Lonchura striata: one gene and its partners. The protein of the gene in region 1 interacts with the protein of each later gene in a pairwise test. Links are inferred from orthologs where the notes say so. Each region holds a gene or a part of one and is shown on either strand. Other genes may lie near its edges. The genes, in order: KIFC3, TRIM54, MFAP1 and ZGPAT.

What was found.
Region 2: the proteins of KIFC3 (region 1) and TRIM54 interact in binary tests that used the Homo sapiens proteins (3 or more experiments, as listed by UniProt). The two-hybrid records come from large-scale screens. The link is inferred for Lonchura striata from reciprocal best matches to the Homo sapiens genes KIFC3 and TRIM54.
Region 3: the proteins of KIFC3 (region 1) and MFAP1 interact in binary tests that used the Homo sapiens proteins (3 or more experiments, as listed by UniProt). The two-hybrid records come from large-scale screens. The link is inferred for Lonchura striata from reciprocal best matches to the Homo sapiens genes KIFC3 and MFAP1.
Region 4: the proteins of KIFC3 (region 1) and ZGPAT interact in binary tests that used the Homo sapiens proteins (3 or more experiments, as listed by UniProt). The two-hybrid records come from large-scale screens. The link is inferred for Lonchura striata from reciprocal best matches to the Homo sapiens genes KIFC3 and ZGPAT.

The regions. Positions count from the first base shown.
Region 1 is NC_134615.1:17,416,552-17,423,461, reverse strand, and holds the start of KIFC3 (kinesin-like protein KIFC3), read left to right. Parts: upstream 1-3,906; 5' UTR 3,907-3,956; intron 3,957-4,682; 5' UTR 4,683-4,712; coding exon 4,713-4,797; intron 4,798-6,436; coding exon 6,437-6,582; intron 6,583-6,910. UniProt on the Homo sapiens protein: Minus-end microtubule-dependent motor protein. Involved in apically targeted transport. Required for zonula adherens maintenance.
Region 2 is NC_134605.1:113,724,012-113,731,509, forward strand, and holds the start of TRIM54 (tripartite motif-containing protein 54), read right to left. Parts: upstream 3,001-7,498; 5' UTR 2,915-3,000; coding exon 2,747-2,914; intron 2,320-2,746; coding exon 2,147-2,319; intron 1,828-2,146; coding exon 1,656-1,827; intron 1,580-1,655; coding exon 1,484-1,579; intron 1,367-1,483; coding exon 1,133-1,366; intron 929-1,132; coding exon 906-928; intron 834-905; coding exon 691-833; intron 352-690; coding exon 250-351; intron 112-249; coding exon 73-111; intron 1-72. Other genes in the region: DNAJC5G (dnaJ homolog subfamily C member 5G), read right to left, coding at 4,329-4,408, 4,954-5,107, 5,268-5,481, 5,711-5,823; uridine-cytidine kinase-like 1, read right to left, coding at 7,452-7,498. UniProt on the Homo sapiens protein: May bind and stabilize microtubules during myotubes formation.
Region 3 is NC_134613.1:24,430,381-24,437,758, reverse strand, and holds the start of MFAP1 (microfibrillar-associated protein 1), read right to left. Parts: upstream 3,017-7,378; 5' UTR 2,865-3,016; coding exon 2,786-2,864; intron 2,687-2,785; coding exon 2,467-2,686; intron 1,751-2,466; coding exon 1,618-1,750; intron 1,318-1,617; coding exon 1,130-1,317; intron 703-1,129; coding exon 594-702; intron 524-593; coding exon 363-523; intron 133-362; coding exon 1-132. UniProt on the Homo sapiens protein: Involved in pre-mRNA splicing as a component of the spliceosome.
Region 4 is NC_134619.1:7,097,470-7,105,212, reverse strand, and holds the start of ZGPAT (zinc finger CCCH-type with G patch domain-containing protein), read left to right. Parts: upstream 1-4,728; 5' UTR 4,729-5,143; coding exon 5,144-5,787; intron 5,788-6,469; coding exon 6,470-6,603; intron 6,604-7,308; coding exon 7,309-7,467; intron 7,468-7,743. Other genes in the region: ARFRP1 (ADP-ribosylation factor-related protein 1), read right to left, coding at 1,579-1,649, 1,811-1,892, 2,491-2,573, 3,021-3,108, 3,444-3,536. UniProt on the Homo sapiens protein: Transcription repressor that specifically binds the 5'-GGAG[GA]A[GA]A-3' consensus sequence. Represses transcription by recruiting the chromatin multiprotein complex NuRD to target promoters.

The DNA of each region.
Region 1 (6,910 bases):
TAGCCTTGTTTCTAAGAAGCGCTTTATAAGCAGGAGCCTGTGTTGATTAATGCCATGAAACATTAATGACTTAGGAGGTGAGCTGCAGTCCTCCCACAGAGCAGCTCCCCACTCCCCAGCAGCCAGAGAGGCACAGGATGAGCCCAGCGCTGGTTTTTAGGCAAGGCACAGGCATTAAAGCCAAACCCAAGTTGTTCCTGAAGCCAGCTGAAAAATATGACAAAGATAAAAGGTAGGTAAAAGGGAGAAGGAGGCTGAGCTTTGGTTAGATGGTGTGCACTGAAGTCTGAGATAAGAAATTCGGAAGGGTGGAAGAGTCACCCCTCCAAAGGCTGCTACATCTCACATGGCACTGCCCTGGCTGCCAGCACAGCAGAAGTTTTGTCTGCCTGAATGCAGCAGGTTGAACAAGGTGTTGCTTTTGCCATTTGCTTGATATAGAGGAGATTTGCATGGGGGACACAGGCAGAGCTGAGCCAGGCATGCAGCAGCTCCCAGCTGGAGCAGAGAGATCCTTGGCTGTGGACAGGCTCTGGGCTGCCCTGGGCTGCCCAAACACAGCCTAACTGGCTTTGAGGGGCTTGGCCAAGGTGCTGAGCTGCAGAGACACCACCACCAGCTGAAGCAGCATCCCAGTGTGTTGGATTTTGGCAGCAATCCTTGAAACACCCCTGCCCTGCTCCTGCTCTCCACCCAGTTCCACATAACCCTATCGCAAGGATCAGAGCCTCGGGGTTGAATTAACGCAACTAGGGAACTTTAAAATGAATATTAAATTTCTCAGGAACACGCTAAGACTTAATTAAAACTCCTGTCATTGTGTGAAATGGCAATGTAGGAATGCAGGGGGCTCGTTCCTGCTTTGCAAAGCATTTCATGTTGGCTTGGCAAACCATGCCTCAGCAAAGCCGAGAAATCCCCTCACCTCCTCAAGGAGGAGCAAAATTAGAATAATGAGCTGGTTTATAATTAATTGTGCTCTGGGGACACATTCTCACGCTGTCTGATGCTTCTGGTGGGAATTCTCTACAGGGAGCATCCCAACATACAATAGGTTTCAGGTATCAGGTGAGCTCCTGCCTGCATTCCTAGACCAGGTTATCAGGTTGCTCGAAGGGAGAGTAGGAGGAGTTACATATTTTCTGGCATTTGGGGGATTTTTTAGCTGTCTTACAAATGTAGGTTAAATATTTGCTCAGGGCAGAACAAACACCCAATACAAAGGGCCCCACTCAGTGATGTGTTTCGATCTCTGGAGCTTCCCTTCATCCAAGTAAAAGGCAAATTAACCTGCCTGGCTTCACCCCACCATGGCAGCGATGCTTTTCAGCTACAGCACAGGCTGGGCTAAAAGCAGAGCTAGACCCGAGCCAAGGTCACTGTCCCCGGGCAGGGTGGCCCGTGGCAGGCTGGTGCTGTCCACGCAGGGCAGATGTTTTAGCACTGATGGTCATCGATGTATCGAGCCTCCCTGCTACCTGCTGGGTGCTGGCAGAGGTGCTGCTGGCGGCCAGCCCTGCTCCTCGTTGCTGTTCTTCTGCCTGCCTGCAAAGCAGCATTTCTAAAAATACCTCCAGCGATGTCGTCAGCCGGTGCTTGCTCAGGTCACGGAGACAGCCGAGGAAAGGAAGATGGGAGCATCGCTGGGGGACCAAGCTGAGATGATCCCAGCCAGCATGGGTGAATCCCTGCAGAGAGAGGGGCACGAGCAGGGTGCTGCTGCCTGCACAGGCTCCCATGTGTGCTGCCCACAGCCCCCCAGAATGTCCAGCAGCAAGTGGGCATCCCCGGGATTCACAGTGCTCCTTTGAGCCAAAGAGCATCGCAGTGCAGGGAAAGGGAGCTGGTACCTGGCCAGCGGCGTGCAGCCAGAGTAACCCCACTTCTGGATGCTGGAGAGCCTGTTCCTGGTGTGCTGGGCCTGCCAGAGAGCCATGCTGTCCTTGCCAAAAATAGCCCAGCAGCTGGGAGGGGTGGGTTTTGTAATGCTCACAGGTGACTATTTGAATAGGGCTGTTGGCACAGAACCCTTCCTGCATCTCAGATTTTGCTCCATGCTTATTCATTGAGTTATTCTTCTAAACTGGGGAATTCATGCATGTGCCTGCTTAATGTAGACTTACTTGATGTAATTGATACAACTTATGTGCTTTGCATAATTGCAATACCATTAAAAACCTGAAGCATTCAAAAGCCAGGAAATTACTTACCAGTTAAAGTAAATTACATAAACATTTGTTTTACTCTTTACAGCTCATAAATGAAGTCAGCAATGATATGGCTTTACAGTTGCTATCGGAAAGGGGAAAGTAGCTTCCTGTGTGTCAATATTATCCCCAAACCAGCCTCAGGAGCTGCACAGATTATGGGCTACTCATGCAAATTAGACACTGCTTAGGGCCTCTGTGGGTAAATGTATGTACATATGGATGTGTGTCTATAGGCACACACACCTCTATCCATCCATGCCAGGATCCATGCTGGGAATGCCAATAAACCTCCGATGAAGGGGGAGGGGGAGGAGGCTGGGAGGTTTTCACTGGCTGCAGGGGAATGGCAAATGCAGTGCAGAGCTGCAGGCTGCTGCCAGGCCAGGATGGCATTGGCTTCTCAGCGGCAAGTTTCTGTGCCAGGGGCATGGGGACACGGAGGTGATCCTTCACAGCCCCCTTTCTCTGGGGTGAGTGGCTAGAGCAGCTTGTCCTCCCCATGTCAGTGGCTCCCTATCACCCCTCACCATGTGGCTGGCTCGTGGCAGGGAGTGGAGCAGTGTCTCATGGGGGGTCTCTGAGACAATGTCCAAGAGGGACAGTCCAGGATGAAAGGACAAGGCTAAATCCTGCTCCAAACCTGGTCAGGAGTGAGAAAAGGCTGGGACTGAGGGAGGGCAGGTGGTCTGCGGGGAGCACAGCACAGGGCTGGCATCAAACCCTCCTTTCCCAAGGGACAGCCACTCCTGCATCCCCAAACCCTGGTGGGACACAGGTCAGCCTGCCATCGGCATGTGGATGTGAGCCATCAGCACGGGGCACCCGCTGCCACCACCAAGGATGCCAAGTGCAGCTTTGTCATGGGAAATATCCGGTACTGCCAGTTCATAACTGTGAACAAGTCATGAGTGACTTGTGTCACCCAAACCAGCCATTACTGTGAGGGCTGTGTGTGCAATACAGGGAGGCAGATACAAATCACACCCTAAAAATGCAGGCATTTCTGTTGCCTTTCTGACACCAGGGCTTTTGTAGAGGTCTTGGCATGTAAGGCTGTTTTCTCCAATGCCTCTGGGTTAGGAAAAGGTTGTTTTTCATGTGATATCTGTGTCCCTGGGACAGATGAGCCTGGGGTGCCAGCTGGCATTGCTGCCAGTGGATGCTTGGGAGCGGTGGGGATGCGGCAGAGTGTGAGGGCATAGTTTGGGTAGGCGGGTCCTCGGTGTGTAGGTAATCAGCACCACTGTCCCCATGGTCCCCCAGGGTCACCGTGATGAGTGATGCCAGGAGGGGTGCACAGGTGGGATGCAGTTACACTGGGACTCCCTGAGGAGCACCGGGTATGGGGTGGGAATGGCAGAGACACACGGGGAGTACCGGGGACACACCGGGAGCCCCCAGCACTATAGCAAGGGAGGGTCAGGGGAGCACGGTGGGGGCGGGCCGCCCTGGGAAGGGCACGGGGAACACCGGGGCTCCCCTGTGCTTCCAGGGTTCCGGCCAGAGGGGCCGGGGTGCCCCGGGGAAGCACCGGGAGCCCTCCGGAGCCCCGCGCCCCCGCAGCCGCCGCCGCTGCCCGATGCGGGAAGGGGAGCCCCGCCTCCGCCGCCCGTCGGGGGTTTCACGAGTTTCCGTGGCAACGAGTGCGGGGCGGGGCTCGGCGCTTCCGTTACCGAAGTGCCGGGCAGGCGGGGACGGGCCGGGGCTGGTGCCGTGTGTCCCGCTGCTGCCGCCGCCCCGCGCCCGGTGAGTGGCCCCGCGGGGCGGCACCGGCGGCACCGGGGAGCCGGGCTGCACCGGGCAGGACCGGGGCTCCCTCCCTTTGTCTGCGGGCTGGGAGCGCTGGCACGGAGCGCCCGCGGCGCGGCGAGAGCGCGGCTCCCCGTTAGCCCGCGGCGGGCGGCGCCACCGGGAGCGGGAGCGGGAGCGGGGCTGCGCCTGCTGCTCGCTGGCACCGGCGCCGGGACCGCCCCGCTGCGGGTCGGGAGCAAAGGAACCCCGCGGTGTGCTGGGCGGCTCCGTGTCCCGTTCCCCGCCGAAGCGGCCCCGGTGAGGTGCGGCGAGCGCGGAGCGGTGTGCGCGGAGCGGAGCGGGCGGTGCCGAGCGGAGCGGTGCAGTGCAGGGCATTGTGTGCGCTGGGATGCGGTGGGTGCGGTGCGCAGGGCTGCCCGTGGTCCCGGAGTTCCTAACTCCCTAAAGGCAGCCCCAGCCCGAGGTTAGGAGGGGCCTGGAGAGGCTTCAGGAATGAGTAAATTAATTACAGACACCGTTTATGTCACATCCGCTGGGAGCACGGAGGGAGCCCGGGGCTGTCGCCTTTTCGGGAGCAAAAAACGGGATTGATGCAACTTCCTGCGGGTTTCGGGAGTCGGAGCCGGTGTTACCGTCGTGTTTTGCTCCAGAACGTCCCACTGGGATTTACAGCTGGGCACTGAGACCGGCTGAGATGTCCGTCCTTGCGCTTCTCCGCAGAGGTGCCGCTGTTCTCGGGACCCCCGTGCCATGATCACGTCCCGCACCGCCTGGCATCTGGGATCCGGGCCCTCCGCCGGAGCCGCCTGGAAGACCAAGGACCTTGCCCCGGACGGTGAGTACAGCACGGTGCCTTGTCCTTGCCCCTTGGGGCTCAGCCTGCTGCACTCACACCCTGCTCACTGGGGAAGGAGAGGCTGAGAACAGGCCAGCCTGCATTTTTCACATTTCTTTCCGGATGAAGGTCAAGATTTGAGAAACGGGGACTCAGAAGCAGGCACAAAGCTCTGGGCAGCGTGCTGGTGAGAAGAGAGGGCTGCCTCCCTCTCTCTCCTGGCCCTTCCGAGCGGGAAACTTAGGGAGAAAGGTTAAAATTTAACATGTGAGGTAGAAAATAGTGATCTGCATGGCAGGTTGAATGTGGGCCCTTTGCCTCTTCCCAGCCTCAGCTCCTTGGAAGGGCTCCTTATCCCTCTCTGGCGCATGGACCCCATGGGTGAGTATAGTCGAGTTTTGCTCTGTGGAGGCTGAGCTGCCTTGCAGGCAGGCGGGCAGCTGCTTGTCCCAACCTGCAACCGCTTGTTGGGAAACAGCCCTTCCCACCTCCCTCACCGATGGTGCTGAATGGGTTTTGGCAAAGGTGGAGGCTGAAACCCCAGTATTTGAACTTCTTTTGCTTTTGGCTTCAGCATTTGCCATCCCCCTGTGCTGGCAGCCACTTCTCTGGACGCAGCTTCTTCTCTGGCACTTGGGCCAGTCCAGCCAAATGCCAGCTGGCACCAAAGCCTCCAAAGTCAGGGTTTTCAGCTCTTTCTCTGCCCAACGGCTGCTGCTGCCCATACAGGGATGGGAAGCTCATCACCTGTTATCCGGGCATTTGCTGGCACTTTGGAAATGCTCAATTTTCATGGCGTGTGCAAAATGTTATGGATAATTAGAGGCTGGGAAGAAGTCCAGAGTGATGGACTAACTTCATAAGGGCACTTCTCCCTCCAGACATCAGTTCCACCTCCAGCCCAACTTCCTCCAGGTGGCTTTAGAGGAAAAAGGCTGCATTTTTGAGGTTTGATTTGTGAGCAATTGATTTTCTCTCTGTTAGCTGGAGAAGAGATTTGGCCACCCGCAGTGGTGGCAGCACTTGTGGCAGATAGGTGCGGGGGGCACAGGGTCCCCAAGCAGTGGGATGTAGCCCTTGCCAGCTGCTTTTCCTGTAGCAGAGCAGGACACAACCATGGGAGAAAGCTCCTTGAGTTGCTGTTTCCTTCTGTGTGGCTCAGCAGGACAGGGAAGTGCTGCCCTGGCTGCTTTTGGGTTTGGCTGCCTGACAAATGAAGGAAATATTTGGGGTCAGTGGAGGGAGGTGACACCGTCAGGGTCTGACTGTCTGGTTTTGGTGATGCAAGCTGGCTTTGGCAGCTTTTCCGAGATGGGATCGCAGGAAGTGGAGCAGCTTGGCAAGGGGTAGAGCTGGGATATCCCTGGTGGGGGACAGATCTGGTCCTGCAGAGGCCAGTCGGAAGCTACACCCTGAATTCTCATTACTAGTCATTGGTAACCAGTCTCCACCCCCCAGAGGGCTAATTTTTCTAATTAACATAATTAACATTTTTAATAAAAGTCATGCATTGTGTCTGCCACACCGGTGTGGTGGCGGCAGCAGGGAGGAGGAGGAGGTGGGTTTGCTGAGCTGGCCGAAGGCTGTGTCTGTGCTGGGCTCCCAGGTGGATCCAGTGATGCTCTTTGCTCCATCTCAGGCCGTGGGCAGGACAGGCTCGGCACTGGGGGCGGAGCAGGCGCCTCTCCCCGGGCTCCTCTGCTGCCAGCACTGCTTCACCATAAAATCTTCAGCGTGAGCTGGCCGGACACTGCAAACCCCCGTGGGCTCTGCCGGGCTCTCCAGGTGAGGAACGCTGAGCCAGCCATGGCATGTATGGGGAGGGCAGTTTTAGGGTGATGGGGAGGATGTCCTGCACCCATCTGGGCCATCCAGGTGGGAACCAACTGGTTCCCTCCCTTACCACAACCAGTTTGTGCCTGGACCCCAGCAGCGTGTGCCTCAAGCAGAGCTGCTGCCTGGCTGGGGAGGGAAAAGCATCTCTGGGGAGTGAAAAGGCATCAATGGGGAACAGTGTTCATAACAGAATAGCATTTTCTGGGTCACTTATGGGTCATGCTGGCAGGAGAGCTCAAGGCAGAGGTGTGATAAGAAAATGCAGTGCCGTGAGGTG
Region 2 (7,498 bases), on another chromosome or scaffold:
CCACTCCCAGCAGGTCTCCTCTGCCCCACGGCACCCCATGGCCGTGCCCATCTCACTCCCATGAGGTCTCACCATGGGGAGAGCTCGCTGGCTTCTGCCTCGGCCCCACATCTGCAGCGGGAGAGAGGGAGCAAGAATGAGGCAAGGATGCCCCAGCACCCTGAAGGACACGTGCTGCCACACGGAGACCACGGCACAGCCGAAGGCTGGCACTGGACACAGCCCTGGGCAGTCAGGGCAGGCACTCACCTTCAGCAGCTTCGGGCACCTCCAGACTGTCCAGCCGGTCCTCGTCTGCTGCAGCCTCACTGCCGTCCCCAGGTCCATCCCCCTCATCCTCACCCAGGGGCTCTGTGGGCAGGGGACAGCTCAGGTGGGACCTTCCCTCCCTCCCTCCTGCATCATGGGGATACACTAGGGCATGCAGGAGGGAGGTGATGGAGCAGGACGCTCCAGGATGGACGTTCCTAGGAGGAATGTGACCAGCCCAGTGTGGGAACCAGGGAGAGCCTGGGCAGGACTGACCCTCCAGGGCCCCTGGGTGGAGCTACAGGTGAAGGTCACATCCCCAGTCCTGCGTGGGATTCCCACACAGGGCATGTGGTGAGGGGGGCTCCGCCTGGGGCTCTGGGCACCCCAGGCAGTCCCAGCACCCCCTCAGGACAGCAGCAGTTTCCCCAGTGCAGGCACCTGTCTGGAACTCGATGGTCCTCAGCATCTCAGCCACATAGTCCACGTTGATGGAGAAGTGGTCCATGTTCTCATAGCCAGGCTCAGGGCGGCTGCTCATTGATGCCTTGGACATGTCTGTGATCCTGCAGGGCAGAGACACCCTGGGAGCTGCAGGGTCCAGCACCCAGAGGGCCACCAGCCAAAGGTCTTTTCCCTCCATAGTCCCCACTCACTTTTTCAGGAGTTCCTTGGAGTGCTGTGAAGGAAAACGAGGCGGGATCAGTGTCTTCTAGACATCACCCCCACCACAGGTGGGGCACATCCAGGGGCATCCACAGATCCTTTTGGGTGAGCACAGCCCCCCGTTTAGACCTGTGAGCAGCCCCATGCCCCTCAGGGAACACCATGGCAGCACCACACAGCCCCCCTGTCCCTTCTCTCCCTGCTCCCCTGGCAGGACCTGCAGGTACAGGGCCATCTGGGGCTCCTCCATGGCCTGGATGGCTGACTCCACCAGCTTGGAGGAGGCCTCCAGGTGGTCTCCGTACTGGCGGATGAGCCCACGGACTCGCTGCAGCTTGGCCTCCTGCTCGGCTGCGATGCTCTGCAGCAGCTCCTTCTTGCGCTCCTCCAGGATCCCGTAGAGCGCATCAAACCGCAGCCCCACATGCTGCTTCTGCCGCCGGCCGTTCTCCTGCGGACAGAGCCAGGGCTGCGCCGTGTCCCCCCAGCACAGCCCCAGGGCTGGACACTGCCAGCGCACCACATCCCCCCACTGCCACAGCCCCGGGCCAGAACCCTCGGTCCCAACCTCGATGGTGTGGCAGATCTCCTCCATCTGTGTGATGATGGCCTGGATCCGGTCATTCCCCGCCACCAGCATGGCAATGCCATCGCTGAGCTCGCTCTGGCAGGAGAGGGGCTGGGTGTGAGGGTGGCTGTGCAGGCACTCTCAGCCCCCCGAGACCCCAGGGTCCCCCCACCTTCTGGCGCTGGTAGACGGCCGGCAGCGGGGCCACCTCGCAGTCCTTGTGCGCCCCGAACACCTTGCAGAGGGAGCAGGTGGGCACCTCACAGCGCAGGCAGTAGATGTTGATCCGCTCGTCCTCGTGCTCCTCGCACATCAGGTGCTGCTCAGCCTTGGCATGAAGGGGTCTACATGGCGGTTTGGGGTATCAGGTAGACACCTTGGCCCCAGAGGCACCCCAGCTTCAGAGACAGCACCAGCCCCGGGATCTGCCCAGCCCTCAAGACACCTCTGGCTCCCAGGGACCCTTCAGCTGCAGGGACACTGCTGGCAGCAGAAATACCGCTGGCCCTGGAGAGACCCGCAGCCCCAGGGATATTCCCTGGCCCTATATGGACCCCATGGCTCCCCAGTTCCTGCTGGGATCCCACCCCGAGCCCTCTCGCTGGGTTTGCTGTCACCCGCAGGTCTCGCCCTGCCCGCCCCGGGGTCCCCACGCCTCCGGACCGGGCCGACTCCTGCTTGTAGATGTCGATGATGTTCTCCACGAGCAGGTTCCGCTGCAATCCGTACACCCCGTGCCGGTCTAGCACCACCTCGTGCCGGCAGGACGGGCACCGGAACCGCCCGCCCGACGGCACCGCGCTGGAGCCCCGTGACTGCCACAGAGGGTTGGAGGCCTGGGGGGGTACGCGAGGGGTCACGGCGGCGGCACCCCGCACCCCCGGCACCTCCCAGCCCCGCGGATCTGCACCCCACAGCCCCCGGGACGCGCCCGGGCACGGCCATGGCACGGAAACAGAGGCGGAGACGGGCAGGAGCACGGACAGGACACGGGTGTGGAGACAAACAAGGACTCCTACACGGGCTCTGCTTCCCGTTCACCGTCTCCGCCGGCCGAGAGTGGCACCGGGCACAGCCCAGCCGGGATTGCCGGTGCCGGTGTCAGACCAGGCCCCTCTGCGAAGAGGATCCCGGTGCTCTGGTGCCGCCCGCCCCTCCGCCTCGCTGGCCGGGGATCCCGGGATAACGGGGCCACCACCCGCCGGACTGGGGTCCTAATGCCTAGGTCCCGGTGCCTCCCCGCGCCCCACCGGCGGGTCCCACCTGGAAGACGTCGTTGGCGCACTTGCGGCAGAGGTTGTGCTGGCAGGGCAGGATGACCACGGGCTTGGAGAACATCTCCAGGCAGATGGGGCAGATGAGCTGCTTCTCCAGGCTCTCCATGCTCCGCGCCTCCGCCAGAAGCGGCTTCAGCCCTACCGCGAAGTTCATGGCTGCGGTCCCGACCCGGCCCGGCCCGACCCGGCTCTGTCTCGCGGCTCCGCTCCGGCCGCCCGGTGCCCGCTTTGTTTCGGCCCCGGCCCCGGCCCCCGGCGCTAATTTTAGCCGCCCCCGCCCCGCCGGGGCCGCAGCTGTCGGCGGCGTCGGGTGACACTGAGTCACCGCTCCTGCCCACCCTAGGGACCGGCTGGTCCCGGGACCCGCTGCGCTTCGGGACCCGCTGATCCCCTGCCCGGGAGGAGGAGCGGCCGAGGCTCCGGGGACCGGGCCTGGCTGGTGCAGGGGTGCAGGGCTGGCAGTCATGCTGAGGAGTATGTGTCCCCCAGCAGGGCTGGGGGAGGTTGGGGTCCCGCAGATCCCACAGCCCAGTGCCAGCCCCTCCGAAGAGCAGGGTGGAGGGGCTGGAGCCAGGACACCCCCATCCTCACTCACCCTGGCACCCTGGCTATATTTAGGGAGTGAGGCAGAGCCCATGCAGCTGCGGGCAGTGGCAGTGACCAGACATGGGAAGAAAGTGCAAGCGGCTCACAGTGTCCCCCTTGGTCCCATCCCTGCCAGTCCTAGCCCTCCGCAGGAGAGCGGGGCAGGAGCAGGGGCAGTGCCGGCAGGGGGGAGCAGGGCTCCAGGATGGCAGCAGCAAGGAGAGGGAAGAGCAGAGCCTGCGGGAGCCAGCAGCAGGGGACAGAGCGGGACCCAGGTGGGTGACAGGAGACCAGTGACATTCACTACACTAGACATGACCATTCCACACAGGACGTGACCTGCCTACTGCACACCCCAGTTAGTCCCCACAGCACCCTGCAGGATCCATGGGCACAGCCCCCAGCATGGACAACACCAGGCAGAGGCACATCCTACCACCGACGGACAGAACCCAGGCACACACACTCCCCTCCCGTCGGCCTTTAATGGTGCCCACAAAAACCTAGACAAACCCAGAGGGCAGAGGAAAGGGGCACAGACAGGAGCACCCCAACTCCACAGCAGCGTTTGGCACCCAGCACCCAGCGGGAGGGCTGCAGGGGGGCAGCGGGCTCAGCCCAGCCCCAGAGGTTACAGTGCTAATGGTCTCGGACGCGCTTGGCTCCCTGCAGAGCTCGGCCCGGAGCGTCCCTGCTCGTGCCTGCTGCTTGCTGCCCGACCTGGGCACCGGCAAGGCACTCAAGGGGGCCATGGCAGCATGGGCTCCAGGCCACTGCCACCACCAGTGCTGGGGCATTGCCCTGGAGCTCGAGCAGGGGCCCAGGAGCCTGTGCATTGATGCTGGCCAAATTAACCTGAGATTATATCCCTCCCGAGGCTGATGAGCCAGTCTGGGGGGTGGGACCGTGGTCCCAGAAAGTGACAGTCCCAAAGGAGAATCCCTGCCCCGAGTCCTCAGGGAGCCGGCGGGATGGGGCCAGCCTCAGGCATCACTCCTGGTGCTGGCTGGCAGTGGGTCCGTGCTGGCAGGCGCGGGCTGTGCTATAACAGGGATCTGAGGATCTGGAAAGGAAGAGCTGCAGATCAGTGGCTCAGCCCCATCCTGTGGTGCCAGTGAGCAGGAATCTCACAACACTGCCTCAAGGGCCCCCACAGCCCAAAGCCCCCATACCCCTGCCCAGTGCAGAGGGCCATGGGAGTGCCCCGACCCCAAGGAAACCTGCAGGAGTCACCCAGCCCCACTGACACCAGTATGGCTGGTGCCAGGGAACAGCTGGCCTGGAGCACAGCTGCTCTTCCCGTGCTCTGTGTCCCAAAGGGCACAGGCCCCAGGGTCTCTAAGCTTCAGGCCTGTTCAGGGGGCCTGTGTCCAGAGGGAAGGAGAAGGTGTACCCATGGCCCGTGCAATGTCTGCCTGGCACTGTCACTGCCACCAGCCCTGACCCACACAGGAAACACCAAGGGCTGGCTGTAAGAGCTGTGACTAAAACCAACCCAACATCTGAGCCAGAACTCTGTCCCCCACACAAGATGGAATAAGGGGAGATCCCAGAGCCCCCACCAAGCAAACACAGGTGCTCCTAGCCACTGGCTCCCGCCTGACTTACCGCTGTCCTCTGCACACATCTGTGCCTCCAGGTCCTTGGGGTCCACATACTTGTAGGACTCATCCTCCTTGGGCGGGCAGCACGTCCCACAGCAGAAGAAGCAACAGCAGCAGCAGCAGCAGCAGGTGAGGGCTCCACAGCACAGCACCAGTGCCTGTGTCAGGGACAAACGTGCTGTGAGCTCACCCAAGTCCCTGACCCATCACAGCAGGGCTAAGACCCCACTCAAGCCACCAGCCTGCCAAACCGCTGAGCCAGTGACCCGCCAGCCCCGTCACGCCAGCCCCACGGACACCGGACGATGCCGGGCTCACCTTGAACCACCACTTGGACATGAGGAAGTAGTGCCGGACGGCATCGTCGCCGAACTGCTCGGCCACGTAGAGGCCGAGGGAGCCGTACTGGTCATACAGGCGGCGCTTGTCCGCGTCGCTCAGCGTGGCGTGGGCGCTGTTGATCTCCTTGAACCGCTCGGCTGCCGCCGGGTCATCGGGGTTCTTGTCCGGATGGTACTTGAGAGCCAGCTTCCTGTGGGGTGAACCGGGGACCCCCGGCATGGGCTCACAGCCTCGCTCCCCGGGACAGCCCACGGCCCCGGTAGGGACCCAGGACCCCCGGCACGGGTTACAGCCTCGCTTCCCGGAACCGACCCTGACCGCCGGGACGGCACCGGGACCATCCGGACGAGATCCCGGCCGCGCTCGCGGGACGGACCCTCACGCCCGGGCTCCCAGGGACCGCGCGGACCCCCCCGTACCGATAGGCCTTCTTGATCTCCTCGGGGGAGCTGCCCTTCTGCAGCCCCAGCACGCGGTACAGGCTCTCCCCGACCCGGGACAGCTTCCGCTGCGGCCGCGGGGGCTCCGCCATGGCCGCGCCGAGGGTCGCGGGGTCGGACGGGACGCGGCACCGACCGCCACGGCCCCGCCCCGCCGCCGCTTCCGCCCGCGCCGCCGCCGCTCTGCGCAGGCGCCGCCCGCGACCCGGTACAGGGCACGGCCCGCCCGGTGACACCGGTACAGGGCACGGCCCGCCCGGTGACACCGGTACAGGGCACGGCCCGCCCGGTACAGGGCACGGCCCGCCCGGCGACACCCGGTACAGGGCACGGCCCGCCCGGTGACACCGGTACAGGGCACGGCCCGCCCGGTGACACTTGGTACAGGGCACGGCCCGCCCGGTGACACCGGTACAAGGCACGGCCCGCCCGGCGACACCCGGTACAGGGCACGGTCCTCCCGGTACAGGGCACGGCCCTCCCGGTGACACGCGGTACAGGGCACGGCCCGCCCGGTACAGGGCACGGCCCGCCCGGCGACACCCGGTACAGGGCACGGCCCGCCCGGTGACACCCGGTACAGGGCACGGCCCTCCCGGTACAGGGCACGGCCCGCCCGGCGACACCCGGTACAGGGCACGGCCCTCCCGGTACAGGGCACGGCCCGCCCGGTACAGGGCACGGCCCGCCCGGCGACACGCGGTACAAGGCACGGCCCGCCCGGTACAGGGCACGGCCCGCCCGGCGACACGCGGTACAGGGCACGGCCCGCCCGGTGACACCCGGTACAAGGCACGGCCCATCTGGTGACACCCGGTACAGGGCACGGCCCGCCCGGTGACACCCGGTACAGGGCACGGGTGACACGCGGTACAGGGCACGGCCCGCACCACCTGACCCCGGTCCGGCGGCAGCAGGAGGCGGCACTCGGGGATCGCGCTGCTCCTTTATTGGTACAAAACGGCGGCGAAGAGGTGGTGAGGGCACGGCCGGGCCCGGGACGGCGCGGGTACCGGGGCAGACCCCCGCCCCCGGGATTCCCTGCTGCCGTCGGTGGTGGGGCCGAGGGGGGGGGGCAAGGCTGCCGCTGCCCTTTGGAAAAAGAACCTGAGCAACAAGGGCAGCACCGGGGACACCTCACCACTCCCTGGTCACCAGCAGCACTCTGCACACTGAGGATGGGACAGCACCGGGAAGGCAGCCCCGTGACAACCCCCTCAAGTCCCGGGGCCAGGGATGGAGTGTGGATTGGCAGGGACGGGGTGAATCTATGAGGTCCAGTCCCTGATGTCAGAGGGTCCCACTGGAGCTGGAGGCCGCCCTCAATAAATATAAATAAATATGGATTCCAGGCACAGAGCTCGCCTGGACTGGACCCCATCCCCCTCTTTCCCTGGGGAGAAGGTGAGCACCCCTCAGGCACAGCCGCAGGGAGGCCACCACTCCCTCTGGAGGCACCACTGGCCCAGAGGCAGGGCTCTGGGAGCAAGGAATGTCCTAAATATCCCCTCTTCGTGGTCCGAAGGAGAGGCCATCCCTCTCTTCTCCCTGGGGAGGACTGGTCCTTTGGGGCAGAGGGAGACCAGTAGCAGGGGCTTGTCTGCAGGTCCAGAGAGCCAGGGGCTGGCAGGTGGGCACAGCTGGCAGCTCAGGGCCTTTCCTGGGGTCAGGGATGGGTGCCAGCCCTGCAGCCAGCCTAGCCTGTGGTCCTGTGGCCAGATCAGCAGTCCGTGCTGTCATTCTCACACCAGGCCGAGGGGCCATCGG
Region 3 (7,378 bases), on another chromosome or scaffold:
TTCTGCAGGAATTTGTATTTGCCCTTTACTGCCTTGTTGGTGATGACTTTACCATTGGCCCGGAGCTCAGCACGGCGCTCCTCCTCTGTCAGGTTCCGCATACGCTCGATCTCTGCCTTCTCCTTCTCCATGCTGGGTGGGAGAGAAGCTCCTGAGACTGTGTGTCCCCACAGCATCTCCCGGGAGAGAGGCTGTCACCAGCTAACACATGAGAGCTTACACATTTACTGCTAGGGAGCAAAGGCACCCCAAGGGTGGGCAGGAGGGACTCTGGGCATTCAGTCCAGCTGGGACCCTGCTGCCAAAGGGCAGCCTGAGGAAAAGGTGGGGTCTCAGCCTCTAGTCTGAGAGACAATACTTACGCTTCTCGTTCTTCGCGGTCTCGTTTGATACGCTTCAGCTCACGGACTTTCCAGGCCTCATACTCCTCCTCATCGTTCTCATCATCTGTATCGAGTGCATCCAGTGCTGCCAGTGAGCGCTTGTTCTCCTCCAGCTCCTTCTTTGCTTCCTCTTCTACAATCTGCAGTGAGGCCCAAGCTAAACTTGCTGCAGTGGCTGCCCCCTCCAGCCTCCAGCCCACCCCTCCGTACCTTAAGCGTGTACTTGCGCCTCTCCTCTGCCATCCTCTTTGCCTCCTGCTCCAGCTCCTTCTGCTTCAGAGCTTCTGCTTCTCTCTCCTGGACTGTGATCCGGTCCTTCCTGCAAGCAGGGCCATGACAGCCTTCAGCCCTCCCACGAGCCAGTGCAGTCGCTCAGCCTCTCACTGGCTCCCACACTGCAACTGCTTTCAGCCTTTGCCCTCTCCAGGGATAGGTCAAGTCCCAGGGCTCTCCCCTTCCTGGGTACTACCACGTTCTTTTGCCACTATATGGCCCTTGACCAAGAGCTCTGGTCAGACTCCACAGCCTGATGCCACAGCAACCCAATGCAACTGATACAGGGCTGTGGGTACAGGGATTGCTCCTTGCTCCCTAGCTGTGCCCTGCCAGGCTGTGACCATCCCATCCCACCCCAAGGAGGTCAATGGCTTCTCACAGTGAGAAGAGACCATGGCAGCAAGGTCTCCTTGGGCCCCAGCTTCTGACTACCACGATCCAGGGCCAGCCTACACACTTCCATCACCTACTTGCGAATAAAGACCGGTTTGAGACGTGGCTCCATTTCATCTTCGCTGTCCGTGTACTCCTCATACTCGGATTCTGACTCAGACTCTTCTCCAGACCGACCCTCATCTTCCAATTCCATCACTTCCATCTCCTCAGTTTTCCTCTCCTGTGCTCGCTGACGCATCATCCCACGCCGACGCTCAATCTCCTAACGGGGACAAGCACAGAGCAGTCAGAGGCCTGCCCTGCTACCACTTCTCTCTCTCCTGTGAAACACGTCACGTCTGCAGTGTTGGCTTTGAGAAGATGCACCTGCCTGTCTGGACGTGGCGTGGCCTCCCCCAGTGTCCTGTTCCATGCCAGAGGATGATAACTTACATGGTTAAGTCGTGGCTAGGTGTGACACTTGTCCAGATACATCAGACAGCCCACATATCCATGCAAAGGGCAGTTCCAGCCTGTGCCCTTCCAGCTTTCCTAGGCCCATTATCTGGCTCTGCAAACACACCTCATCATCAATCTCTTCCTCCTCCTCTTCACTGGTGTCCTCCCGTTCCAGGCGCCAAGCTTCTCCCCCCTCCACTTCTGAATCGCTTTCTCCGACCACTTCAGGTTCCACGATTTTGCGGTGCCTTGCCAGCCTGCAAGAGACCCCAGGTGATGCACAGCACTTGGAACGTAAGGGGGCTGCAGGAAAGTGACTGTTCACAAATCACTTCTAGCAAGGCCACAGTAAGCACTGGGACTGCCAAACATGGCCAGAATTGATATGTTCTCTACCAGGTCACAGTGCCTGGGCACTGCCAGCTCTTCCCTGTCAATGCTTCAAGGAAGAATGCTGTTCCAAATGAGAAGACTCCTTGTTAGTGGAAACAAAACCAACAGCAGCTCCATGGGAGGCAAACAGCACTTAGTGGTGCTTTTCTGCAGATGATGGAGACGGAAATATCACAGGCTGCAGTGAAGCGCAATCTGCGCAAGCACATGGGCAACGTGGTGGAGGCTCTCATCACCCTCACCAACTGAGCTGGGAGGCCATGGGCTGCCCAGAGTGCATTTCACGAGACACCATCCTTCCTTGCTACCCCGAGCTTCAGCACGCTGCTCTAATTTCTGTTTTGGTGCCTGTTTCTCCTACCATCCACCCACACACACCTGGACATGGACTGTGCCTGGCTGGCTCCTGGCTGGAAAGCAGCCCAAGGCACAGTGGATATGAGAAGTCACAAACGCTCCAGCACTGCCTGGATAATGTTCCCAGCTCTGCCCTGTGGAGTTTCTCCTTGCAGTCTAGAGTCCCAGCCCCCCGGCCCCAGATAGGCAAAGGGGGCTCAGCTCTTGTTGACCCAGCACTCACCGCTCCTCCACATCCTCAGCGATGCGGTTCTGGAGGCGCCGGAGCCGGGGGTCGTTGGCCAGTTCCTCCTCCTGTTCCTCGGGCTCGACCTCTTGCTCCTTCGCCTTCTTGATGAATTGGAACTCCTCGTCCTCCTCCTCCGAGGACTCCATGGGCGCGTAGTCGGGCCGCTTGCCCGACACGTACCGCTTCACCTTCACCTTCTCCATGGACAGCTCGCCTGCGGGTGCCGGCCGTCAGCGGCGGTCTCGGCCCCGCACCCCCGTCCCGGCCCCGCGCCCGCCCGGCCTCCCCGCCGAGCCCCGAGCCCCCAGCTCACCCTTCTCGTTGCGGACGGGCACGGCGCCCGCCGTGGACTGGATCGGCGGCTGCTTCATGAGAGCGCTGGGGACCGACATGGTGGCGGCAGGCGGGGGCCGGGCCGGGCCGAGCGGGGCCGAGCGGAGCGGAGCGGGGCCGAGCGGAGCCGAGGGGAGCGGAGCGGAGCCGAGCCGGGCCGGGCCGAGCGGAGCAGAGCCGAGCGGGGCCGCTGACAACGGCGCCTCGAGCGCTCACCCGGAACCGGAACCTCGGCCGCTTCCGCCGCCACCGGGACCGTGCCGGGGCCCGGAAGTGGCGCTGGGCCCGGGGTCGCTGCCGCGGGGACGGGCACCGGGGCTCGGAGCCGTCTGCCGTGGCTGCGTGTCGGCCCGGCGCGGGGTGCTCCGGGCCCTGCGGCCGGCTGGCAGGGGGGTCCCCGGTCGTTTCGCCATCCGCCTTCGGCCGGGAGAGGCTCCGTTCCCCCCTGCACGATGCGGGTTTCTCCCCGGAGGGGAGTGAGGGCGAGGCAGCGGCCGAGCGGCCATAGGACGGCGGGGGCACCGGCAGCGCCGCGATGGGGCTCTGCGGCTCGCCCGGGTGCGGCTCGCCCGGGTGCTGCTCGCTCCGGCCGCGTCTAAGCGGCGCCGGGGCTCTGCGGGCCCGGCCGTCCCGTGCGGGCTGCGTCTGAGCCGGCAGCTGCCGGAACGGAGCGCCCGGGGCTACCCGTAACTCGCTGAGCTGGGGAACGGCCTGCGCCTGGCAAATTCCTGTGCCGAACTGCCCGCCCAGCCTGAGAACTGCTGCTCGCTTTGGTGCGCGGTGGGGCTGCGGGGCTGTGCGGAGCCCGCTGCCAGCGCGGCTGCTCGGGGCAGAGCGGGGCTGGGTGTCCCTGGAGGCCAGGTGGCCGTGGCTGCTGCCCAAGCCGTGCCGTTCCTCCCTGCAGTGCGGCACGGCAGGCCGTCCGCCTTTGCTCCCGACGGCCGCAGCCAGCCATGACCCCAGTCTCCCTGCTCTGCCCGCTCCAGCCAGCTCCAGCAAGCCCCAGCGCTGCTGCCTGGCTCCCTGGCAGCAAGGACAAATAGCTCTTGCGTGCCCCCGGAGCCCTCGGCCAGCGCCAGCAGGGCAGCTGCTGCCGGTGGGGCAGCACCTCCACCTGCCGCACGGCAAGGCTGGGGGAGCTCCTGGGGGTCCCACTGGCGTGGGTGTGAAGTGTCTGTGGGGAAAGGCTGGGGCCACGGCTGCTTCTTGGGGGTTTCCCGTAAGCAGCTGGCTGCTGCCTGTGTCAGCAGCCGAGGTGTGTGAGGCTTCACAGTGTAGGGCGAGTGGCTGGGGTGGGATGTCCCTGTGCACGCATCCTGCCGCAGAAGATAACAGTTTCTCTTAAGTTGGGTAAAACTGCGTCACAAGCCACTGCAGCCACGTCTGCCACTTTCTGCTACCTTCTGCTGGCTTCTACGAAGAAAGGAAGAGGAAATCCTCTTTTATCTTCCATGAAATCTGCTTGCTGGCAGGGAAATTTAGGAAGCAGGGGGAGCGAGCCACACTTCAACAGTTCACCGGCAGTAGCAGAGCAGGTACTCTCGTGGGGTGAGGCTAGCTCTGGCAGCCAGGAAAGGCCAGGGCACATGTGCTTTTCCAATTGGTGGCTCAGCAGTGGAGCACAATCCATAAGGGAGTGCAGGGAAGTGTTTTTCTTTTGGTGTCCTTGGTCTGGCTGGGAGATGTCCCTCTGGCAGCATCTCCTGCAGCCAGTCTAGGGGAGAGCAGACCAAATTTTTGGCAGCAGTACCCTAGTCTGGTCCCAGAAGTGGCTGCAGAGGTCCCAAGGCCACGGTGGAGGCTGACTCTCCTGGGAAACTCTCCTTGGCCTACAGAGATGCCAGGACTGGGCAGATCCAGTTGGATGACCACAATCTGGCTGGGCTGCAGGTGGGGGTGGCTGCCCCAGGCACGGGGACAGGTGGGCCCAGTCCCTTGAAGCACTGGCTGGCTGCACCTGGCATCCTGACTCAGTCCCTGCTCTGGTTCCAGGGAAGGGTGTCCCTGCAGTGCCCTCCATACAGACCCATTTCTGCTGCAGGCAGAAATGGTGCAGTGAAGCTGGTAGTTTGCCTGAGCAACTGAGGCATCGATGCCTTTATAATCCTACAGCACCTACAGACTGCCAGGAACAAGCAAGAGTGGATCTGTGTGCTTGTTGGTGTTCTTCTGGCCTTTGCACCCAGGTGACAACCAGAGCAGCCACTCTGTGTTTATGTTGTTAGTGTTGGATGTTGTCACAGTGTGTTCCCACCTAGTAAGTCCTGTGCCACATGGCAAGGAATAAGCTTTAACAGGACTTGAAGGAACAGTTGGCCACAGTACCCAAGAGGAAGCTTGAGGATTGCACACAAAGCAGATACTGTCCTATTCAAGTGAAGCTAAACTAAAGACCTGGGCAAACAGGGAAATACCTTCAAGCCTGGCTCAGTTCTGTGGCTGCAGGTGCTGGAGGCCATGGCAGGAAGATGCCCTTCACTGCAAAGTCTCTTTGCCCCATGTTCCCTTTGCCCAGTGCAGTGGCTGCTGACATCTTGGCCCTGCCAAGTCTTGGCAGTTGGCAGATGGGCAGCAATGGGGTGGGAGACACTTTGTGAGGCTGAGCCCCCCATTCCTGGGGTGGTGTGAAGCCATGGAAGGCTGGCAGCTGTTCCATGAGTGAGCCTGGAGCATGGGCCAGTCTGCCCCTCAGTGCTGTGCCAGCCACACCTGCTGGTCTTTGGGCTGGGTTTGCTTGTGAGCACCCCCTCCCCAGCCCACCGAAGCCCACGGGCACATGGCATTCCTACTGCTGGGCTGCAGGTGGGCTCCCAGCCTTGTGTTCCTTGCCCGTGTGTGTGTGTGTGTTCCTGTGCGTGACACTACTGTGGAACGCCCCAAGTGCCACAGGCACCTTATGCACTTAGGCTGGGCAAGGAAATCCCTGCACCTGTACAGCAGGTGATGACAGGGTGCTGTCCAGGACAGGTGATGGAAGGGCACATCCCGCAGCCCAGAGCAGGGGCAGAGCCAGACTAGGCTGTGGAGCATTACGACTGCTGCTGACAAAGCCTAAGGCAGATAGTTACAGAACCCACCTTGAGCAGCTGCTGTTTGTGTCTGCAGCTGTACTGCAAGGACAAGGTCAGGGTGTTTGGGCTGGGCCTGTGTCCCTGCATGTGCCTACAGTGAGATGTTGTGTCTGGGAGTCAGAGATGAGTAGAGCTGCTGGAGCCAGCTGGACCCTGTAGACCACAGGTCCTGCCTGGAGCATGGCAGTCCCAGCTCCCTCAGCACTAAGAGACCTGCTGGTAGTATCCAGGGTGGAGGGGACAGACTGGGGAGACTCCAGGGAAAGGGACTGCAGCCTTAGCTTTGGGATAGTGTAAGGATGTGTGCAGGGAGAAGGCTGGACAGCACAGCAGAGGGACTGTGGGCTCACCTCTGCTGGCAATGGGGCAGAGCAGGCTGCTCTGTGCTGGGTAAACCTTCTGCTATTGATTTGGTGCATCCAGAAGTTTCTGCCTGCTGTTGCTGCCTGTTACTTGGTTTTCTCTGCTGGTTTCTCTGTGTGGGCACTCTGCCCTTTACTTGCTCACTAGCTGCTTTCACCTGCAATCCTCCAGGTCCCCCAGGCTGGGATGTTTGCAGGCAGGAGTGCAGCCCTATGCTGCTCTGTTTCCCAGGGAGCTTAGGCAGATGGGCAGTTGTATTCTGCAGGTTGAAAGCTAAAAATGAACCTGATTTTTCCATGAAAGTGGGTTTCTGTTGATTGTGTGTGCAGCCAAGCCACACCAGTGTGCTCAGAGAAGGGGAGTGTGGGGGACTCTCCCACCCCCAGTGAACAGTTTGGCCCCTGTGGCCATAGTGAGAACCCCAGGGGATCCTAGCAGGGCAGACCTCACAGGATGGGACAGTACAATGGGCCGGCAGTAGTGCTGCCAGTTTGCTGGGCACTGCTGCATGGAGCGGCTGTTTCTGCTGTCTCCTGGGCTGCACTGGTGCCTCTGAGCCACAGTCCCCAAGTCTGAGATGAGGGTTTGTGCCTGGCAGATGTGCGGCAGTAGCTGTTTCACCCCTCGCTGCATCATGGCTCGGGGCAGAGAGGGGTGCCTGGCAGCCCTTGTGAGGTGAGTGGGGCACGGCAGCCGCTCAGATCCCTGCTGGTGGCCTCTCTCTGCTCCTTCTGCAGCTGGGCCCAGGGGCTGCTGGCACAGCGGGTCTCCTCCCGGTCTGTGGCGATGTGCCACCTGCAGCCAGGTGCTTCCCGACCCTGGTGTTTTCTTTGGCAGGGCTGTGGGGTCAGCGCAGGTCCCAGGCCAGTGGTTTGCGTAAGAGCGTGGTGCTTCCTGCCCGCCTGCCCTGCCCCGCAGCACCGCCATAAGCCCGTGGTGACAAGGGCCCTTTGTCAGCTCCTCATGTCACAGGGCTGCGTGCAGCAGCTCCTCACCTGCCTTGGCACGGCTGCCAGCGCCCAAAGGAGGCATCCAGAGGTAAGGTTCATGGGTGGGGCAGGCAGCCTGTGTCCCATCCTCCCTCCCACCACCAGTCCGGACTCCAGCTCCGACCTGCCTCTGTCCATGCATTCTCCATA
Region 4 (7,743 bases), on another chromosome or scaffold:
TCCAAGATCATTCTGTAGGAGTGAACCTCTAAATACCCAGTGCAGGTATTTCTTACAAACAAGCAAAGCAAACCTCCAGTGGGTTTAGCTTTGCTAATCTCTTGTAGCTCTACAACTGCATGAAGGCACTAAGTCTGTGGGCTGGTCTTGGACCCTCCAGAGGAAGCAAGAAGCCAGATTTGCTTTTGAAAGGCTGTTCCAAATACCTCTTTCTAGCAATTTAAAGAAGCCAAATTGTTCAATTATTTGTCTTTAGTCTGGTTAGAGTGTCAGAAAAGCCAGTGTCTGCAGCTTGTAAGAAAATATGTATATACAACCAAGAGAGAAACTGGAACAACCTTCCAGGTCACTTGTTGGACTTTATCCTCAACAAGTCAAGGCAAGAGTGCAGGCTGTTCCCTGCAGAAAAGCTGTGGGGTTGTACAGAAATGTGAGAGTCAATATTCTGGTTTCCACAGAAAAAAGACAGACCATTTCCCTACATTCCAGAAACCACAGCAAAGTCAGGACCATAAATCAGGAGTTCAGACTTGATCTCATGCTTTTACATGGAATTACATTTCTCTTATTTCTAAGACTAGATAATCTAGATAATCTAAATGAATTACATCATCCAAAAACCAATCTGTGTTGTACTCATTAAAACCTGCTCTAGAGCCAAGTGATTTCTATGGAAGCCTCACGTGTTTCCACAAGTGCAACTGCTCGGACAAGTGTAAAGTGCAGAGGAAAGAACCTGAGAAGTTTTTGCATCCTTTGGAACAGAGACTGAGCCCAGCTGCCAGGTCTGCTGCTCCAAATCCTACTGCGAGCCTCTGGCTCCATCTACAGACGAGTCACTGCAGCTGCACTCCTGCAATTCCAGGTACAATTTCCAGGAGGAAACCACAAAAAACACCACTACCACCTTGGGTACTGTCTTCCTTTTTTCCATGCTGGGGGAGGTAAGGATGGCCCAGGATGTGTCACCTAAACACCACACCACCCACAAACTGCCAAACCCAAACCCTTACAGTTTACCGTTCTGTAAAGCTTTATCCAAAGCTTTACAGTCCTGAATACACTGCAAAGAATTCAAATTATATTATCAGAAAAGGAGCATTCCTTGTCCTTGCCATTCACTGTTGTCACTGATGGAATGCTCTACAACAAACTATTAAACAGATCTTATCCAATTATGGGGAAAGGATGATTTGCTTCACATACATCTGTTGCGCTATTCCTGGGTTTTGAAAGAGCAGCATAAACAAAGTGCACTAAACATTTTTTTCTGAATAAACAGGAAAAAACAGCATCAATATAGGCAGTCACACTACATAAAAAACCCACTATAGCTATGCATTTTCTTCTGTTTACATAAAGAGTTCAAAACTATGTGCCTGTAGGAAGCTCACTCATGGCACTGAAAAAGGGCTGGAGGAGAAAGGAAAAAAATACAACTAAATTCAAAGTAATTATTTCAAGTAGTAGGAAAGTACCAGAGGATCAACTCAGGACTGTGGAACAAATTTAACATGAATGCATAGTTCACCTTTCCAAGGCTTATTTGCTCATTTACGTAAATCCTCCATATTTTACCTCTACATCCTGCTTGTTGGCCAACACCAGAATGGGAACCCCTTCCAGAGCTTCACTGGTAATCATCTTCTCTACAAAGGACAGAAACAAAACCAGATTTAGCCAGTTCTGGAAGTTGTACAAATGCCTGGCACAGATTCTCTGGACAGAGGGATGAAGCCAGAAGCTCCCTCTTGCATTACAGTTTCATTTGATACAACCTTCCAGGACAGTTTGGTGACACTGTACTTACCAAAAGCTCTTTTGGACTCGGAGAGCCTCTCCTCATCAGTGGAGTCAATAACATAGATCACCCCGTGAGATTCAGCATAGTACTGGAAGGAGAACACAGATATTGGTGCCAATTCTCTCCCTGATTTGATTTTGGTACAGTTTTGATACATGTGGAGATCAACCAATTAGAGGCAGCTGTATCCACAGTGTGCCTTAACAGAATGGAGGCACACAGCCTGTGCTGCCTGTTCTGTTTGCAGGTCTGATCAATACACCAGGTGGAAAAGCTCACCTGTGTCCCCCCAAAGCTCATCTCTATGGCACAACCCCAGATCTGGGTTGGTAATTGCTGTCTAACCAGTAATGCAAATATCAACCACGGAAATAGTGGAATTTCTGAAAAAGTGTTACTGCTAAATACTTGGGTTATCAATAAGCCTGTGTGATTACCAAATGATTTTAGTGGTTCAGTTCTAAAAGAACTAAAAGAAATCACAGAATCACAGGATGGTTTGTGTTGGAAGGGGCCAACCATCTCATTCCAATCCTCTGCCAGGAGCAGGGAGACCTCCCACTAGATCAGGCTGATCAGAGCTCCACCCACCCTGGCTTTGAACATTTCCAGGGATGGGGCAGCCACAGCTTCTCTGGGCAAGTTGTATAAATCAAATAAAAATAAAACAAAACCACATTTCTAACCTTGTCCCAAAGTGACTGCAGCTCCTCCTGCCCACCAAGGTCCCAGAACATGAGCCGAGTTTTGCCAACATCAATAGTTCCAACTAGAAGGAAGGAAGAAAGGGCAATCCAATGAAAACTGTAAAGCACAGACACCTGCACAGCCCACTCAGAAATCTGGGGTGGGACAGGCTTGTAGGGGAACAAATCACAGGCAACAGCAGAGCAAAACCTGCACGGAGTGATCACAAATATAGATCAGTATCTGTGCAAATAATTCCAGAATTGGGCCAAGGAATGAACTCTGGGGAAATATAGTTTGAGGACAGCACTGAAATAGGATACCTGAAGTTTTAATACTTTAAGAGTTTTTCCTCCTAAGCTAAGAAAGTCTATTTTATTATCTATAAAAAGACTTGGATAGTTGGGAGATAAAATCTCTGCACCCAGGAACTATTATTACCTTCTGAATTCTTAAATATTTAAAACAAAAAACAGCTGTTGTCTATCTATGCAAGAAAGCTGAAAAAATTCCATGTGGATTTACTCACTGTTTAAGCCTACAGTGGTTGTGATTTTGGACAAACTCATCCCTTTGTAGTTCTTGTTAAATCGGGTTTTAGTTTGTTCAAGGAAGGTCTGAAAAAGAATAAGACAAAGTCAAACATTTTACTGGCTCTTAATTTCTGCCCAATCCTGCTAGAGCAGATAGTGCCCTACCTAATTTTGGATAAACCACTCTTCTTACTCCCTATTTTAGCAAGAAAAGAAGGGATCACATGTGATTATGGGATTACCAAAGCCTCAGCCACATCCCTCCCTGAAAGCTTGTACTAAATTTAAGTAATGAGGAAAAGTTGATTGCTTGGTGTGACATCACTAAAGTAACTCAGGATGACCCTTGCTGGAAGATTTATCCCTGGAGGATGTTTAGGATTGTGTGTGCCCTCCACGGAGTGATAAACAGCACTTACAGTTTTACCAGCATTGTCCAAACCCAGGATCAGGACACAGTACTCATCTCTCTGGAACATGTATTTATAGAGCCCTGACAGCAGCGTATACATCCTGCTCCTGCAACAAATGCCAGGAAATCAATTAACAAACAGCTTGTTCCCAAAAGCCTCTCATGCCACAGCACAAGTTTTTCCCGATGCCAGACAAACAAACGATGTTACTCTTTCATCAGTACCTCTCATATTTAGGCAATCCCAGGAAAAATCAGAGATCTAAGAGAGATCATGAAAATAGCTCACAATCAAATTTGGGGTTTAAAGGGGAACTGAGGAAGGACTCAAACACCTCTTGCAGTAAATGTAAGACCCACAGAAAATGAAGTGGGCTCACACAAATACAAAGAGCAGGTATTTGGAGCAGGGATCTACAGAAGCTCAGAGCTGGGTGCGCACACAGAGGCACAGGGATGCAGGGAGCACTGGCAGCAGGCGCTGCAGCTGACTCACGGGCATTGCAACACCCCTTCTGTTCGAACACAGATAAAGGGAACCTCCAGGCACAGCCTTTGAGAGGCAGCTGCCTCTAAGCAAGCGCGTGGTTAAACAATCACTTTGAAGTCCAACACCATTACCTAAAGGGAAATAAAAGCGTTTCAAAGCAGGAATCGGATGGGGGTTTTACAGTAAGGGAGGACAGGGCACGAAGGGGCTTCAGTCCCACAGGTACCGGGGCCGCCCTTGGCCCCCAGCTCCTGCCGTGCCCCGGGCAGGGGGAGCCCCGGCCGCTCCCCTCTCGGGACAGCCACTGACCCCGGGACAGCCACTGACCCCAGGCCAGCCCGACCGCCGGCCTGCTCCTCCCTAAGACGGGAGATCCTCCATAAGATCCGGGATTTCTCGCCCTTTCCCTCCCTGTCACAGCCAGTGACGGCTGAAGGAGATCACCGGCCCTACCGCCATTTCCCCCTAATGGCCCCGCGTCACGTCCCGGGCCAGAGACAGGTCCCGGCCCGAGCTCCCGAGGGCAGCGGGCGAGGAAAGAGCCTCGAGCCCGAGCCCCGCGGCCCGTCACCTGATCCGGTGCCGGTGTCAGCGCCGGAGCTGGAGTCGCCCCTCACGACTCCCCAGCGCCACCAGCCACCGCCATTTCGCGCCCAGGACACTGGGAAATGTAGTCCTGTCGCCGCTGCGGTGGCGGTGCGGATGGTGTCTGTGGACTACAACTCCCGGAATGCCCAGCGCCCGGTACTGCGTGGGTGACGCGCTGCGAGCGCAGCGGAAGTGGGGGCGCTGCGGCCGGAAGAGGGGTGTCATGGCGGGTGCCATGGCGGCGGCTCGCCGGGACTGAGGCTGCTGAGGGCGCGGTGCGGCCGCCGAGGGGCCAGTGGCGGCTCAGGGAGGTGCCGCAGCTCTGGGGCTGAGGGAGCGCCCAGGCTGCGGGAGGAGCGGTGCCGTGCGGGGGCCCGGTGGGCGAGAGTGGACTCCGTGGCGGTGGAGGGCAGGGCCAGGCCCGGCCTCTCCTCGGACTCTCCCGTCTCCTCTTGTCGTCTGTTTCCAGCAGGAGCATCGCCCTGGGCATTTCCGAGGGAAAGAGCGGGACGGCGGGTAGATGTCGCTTCTGCAGGCGAGGACTTGTTATCCCAAAGTACTTGAGTAAACTCTGAATGTTTTGAGTTCGTGGAGAGAACGCGGGCAAAAGCGCCTTTGTTGTGCTGAAAATGGATGAAGAGAGTCTGGAAGCAGCGATCCAGACCTACAACGCCCAGCTGGAGCAGGTGGAGCTAGCGCTGGGGGCGGGCCAGGACCCATCGCAGCAGTCGGACCTGATGCAGCTGCAGGAGGATTTGAAGCAGCTGATAGAACTGACCGAGTCCAGCCTGGTGGCTGTGAAAAAGAGCAAACTTCTGGCCACTCTGGACACAGATGCCTCCTCCTCCTCCCCAGCAGGTCTCCCAGGGCAGGATTCCCACCGGGAGAGCTCTACCCAAGATGAGGAATACGCTGCTTTTAAGGAAGCCATTGCTGGGCTTGGAGCAGATGAGGAGCCTGCAGCTGATGGCAACGAGATCTCCTCGGAGAGAGAGGGAGAAACGGGGGATAAACCCAAATCCAAGTGCAGTGAAGAGGAGGAGGAGTCTGAGAGGGAGGAGGAGGAGGAGGGGTTGAGCGGGATGAAGGTCAAAGCCCCCTACTACAGCTCCTGGGGAACCCTGGAGTACCACAATGCCATGATTGTGGGGACAGAGGAGCTGGAGGACGGCAGTGCAGGGGTCAGGGTGCTCTACCTGTACCCCACCCACAAGTCCCTGAAGCCCTGCCCCTTCTTCCTGGATGACAAGTGCAGATTTAAGGAGAACTGTCGGTAAAGAGAGAGGGGTGGGAGAGGCCTTGTCGTTCAGAGGGTTAATCCTCCTCCTCAAGTGCTCTGTGGCTTTCTTACCCAGGGAGATTGTGCCTTAGTGTTTTTAAAATGTGCTGTGGTGAGCAGTGGCACCAGTTTGGCTGCTCTCTATAGCTGATGCACAGATGAAGTGGAAAATCCTGTGGGAAAGATGCAGAGATGTTACATAACTGAGTGGCTGAATTAACGACTGATGAAGTATTTTAAAACAAAACACCCAAGTCTGTGGGTAATGCACACATGGCAGTTGCACAGGGAGGTTGTATAGGCTCCATTTTTGTGGATCTTCACCAGGATCAGCCCCAGTGAAGGTGCTGGGCTGGAGCTGGGCTGAGATCCTCGCCTTTGTGAAGGTGCTGGAGCCCTGCCTGTCTCTGATCCTGTTTATCCCCATAGTCAGGAACTTTTTAATTGGATGTGTCACTAGCAAGGAAGTTTAATTCTCTGGGGTGAGACACATTCTTTGTACCATGACATAAATAACATGTTTAAAGTGAAACATGAACAACTTTATAATTACAACAGCACGTGGTCACACCTTCCTGATTATGGTGAAGGTTCCTCACCTCTGACACTCGTGTGCATTTCTTTTGAGGAAGGAAGGGATTTTCATTTGAAAACTCCTGTTCCTCCTTCCCTGCAGGTTTTCCCATGGTCAGGTGGTGTCCGTAGAGGAGCTCCAGCCATTCCAGGAGCCCGACCTGAGCAGTCTGGGGGTGGGCTCAGCCTGCCTGGCCAAGCACAGTGATGGGATCTGGTACACGGCCAAAATCACCGGTGAGGGGGGCAGGGGCTTGCCCAGGGGGAAGGTGGAGGCTGAGGCTTATGTGGGTCTGTAACTTGGCATTGTGGTTAATGACAGAAAAACATAAACTCTGTGGCAAGATCTTGACCTAGCTGAGGAAACTGTCTGAGTTTTGTGAGGCTAGAGAGAATTGGCTGGGAAACAGGAGATACAAAGAGCAAGAATGTGGAAAGGAAATGACTACGAGGTCATTAACTGCTCCAGGGAAGAGGGAGGGACTGCAGGAATTTACATGTATAGTAGGTGAGAATGGCAGTAATCTGTCTTGTTTAAACAAAAACCAGGGGAGCTGGCCCTGCCCAGCAGCTGCTGATACAGGCCTCCCTCTGTCTTGGGAAGAGGAAGGATTTATTCCTTCTTTCCATCTTTCTTTTAACTGTTGTTAAAAGTCAGAAGGGAGCAAGTCTAACTTCTTTTTAATTCTATTTCTCAACAGCCCATTTTTTTTTTATTTGTAGAGATAAACTTTTGGGTATCAACAGAGGAATTGTGGAAATAGCTTTTCATTGCAGTGAGTGCTTCCCCCTCCCAGACAGAAATAAAAATCACAGATTAAACCCAGAATTTTTTAGAACTATTCCTTGGGACTCCCCCCTGTCCTGTGTTGTTCTGCTGGAGCTGACTCTGCTTTAGCTCCCTGTGTGCTGCAGCTCCTGTCCTTGCTGTGCCCTCTGTAGATGTGGACAGTGGTTACTACACGGTGAAATTTGACTCCCTGCTCCTCAAGGAGGCCGTGGTGGAAGGGGACAGTGTCATTCCACCCCTGAGAAGTGAAGATGCTGCTGAATCTGGCGAGTCTGATGAGGACAGTGTGGATGATTCTGGTTATGCCAAAGGTAAGGGAGTGGGGAGAATGTGAACAAAAGTGACTTGGGATTTTGTTCTTCTTTTCTCTGGGACTGGCTGACTGTCCTGGAGCTCTCACTCTGAGTGTCTCACCTCTGATGAAAGAGCACATGATCTCTTTATGTGTTCCTAAAAGATTAAGAACAGTAACTGGCTGTTATGCTATAACTGCAAACTAAAATCTTTGTGCAAATCCCTGGGCTAATGAAGGCTGGAGAACTTCCTACAAGTGGAAGAAGAGGGTGTGATATTTTAGAGTTCCAAGC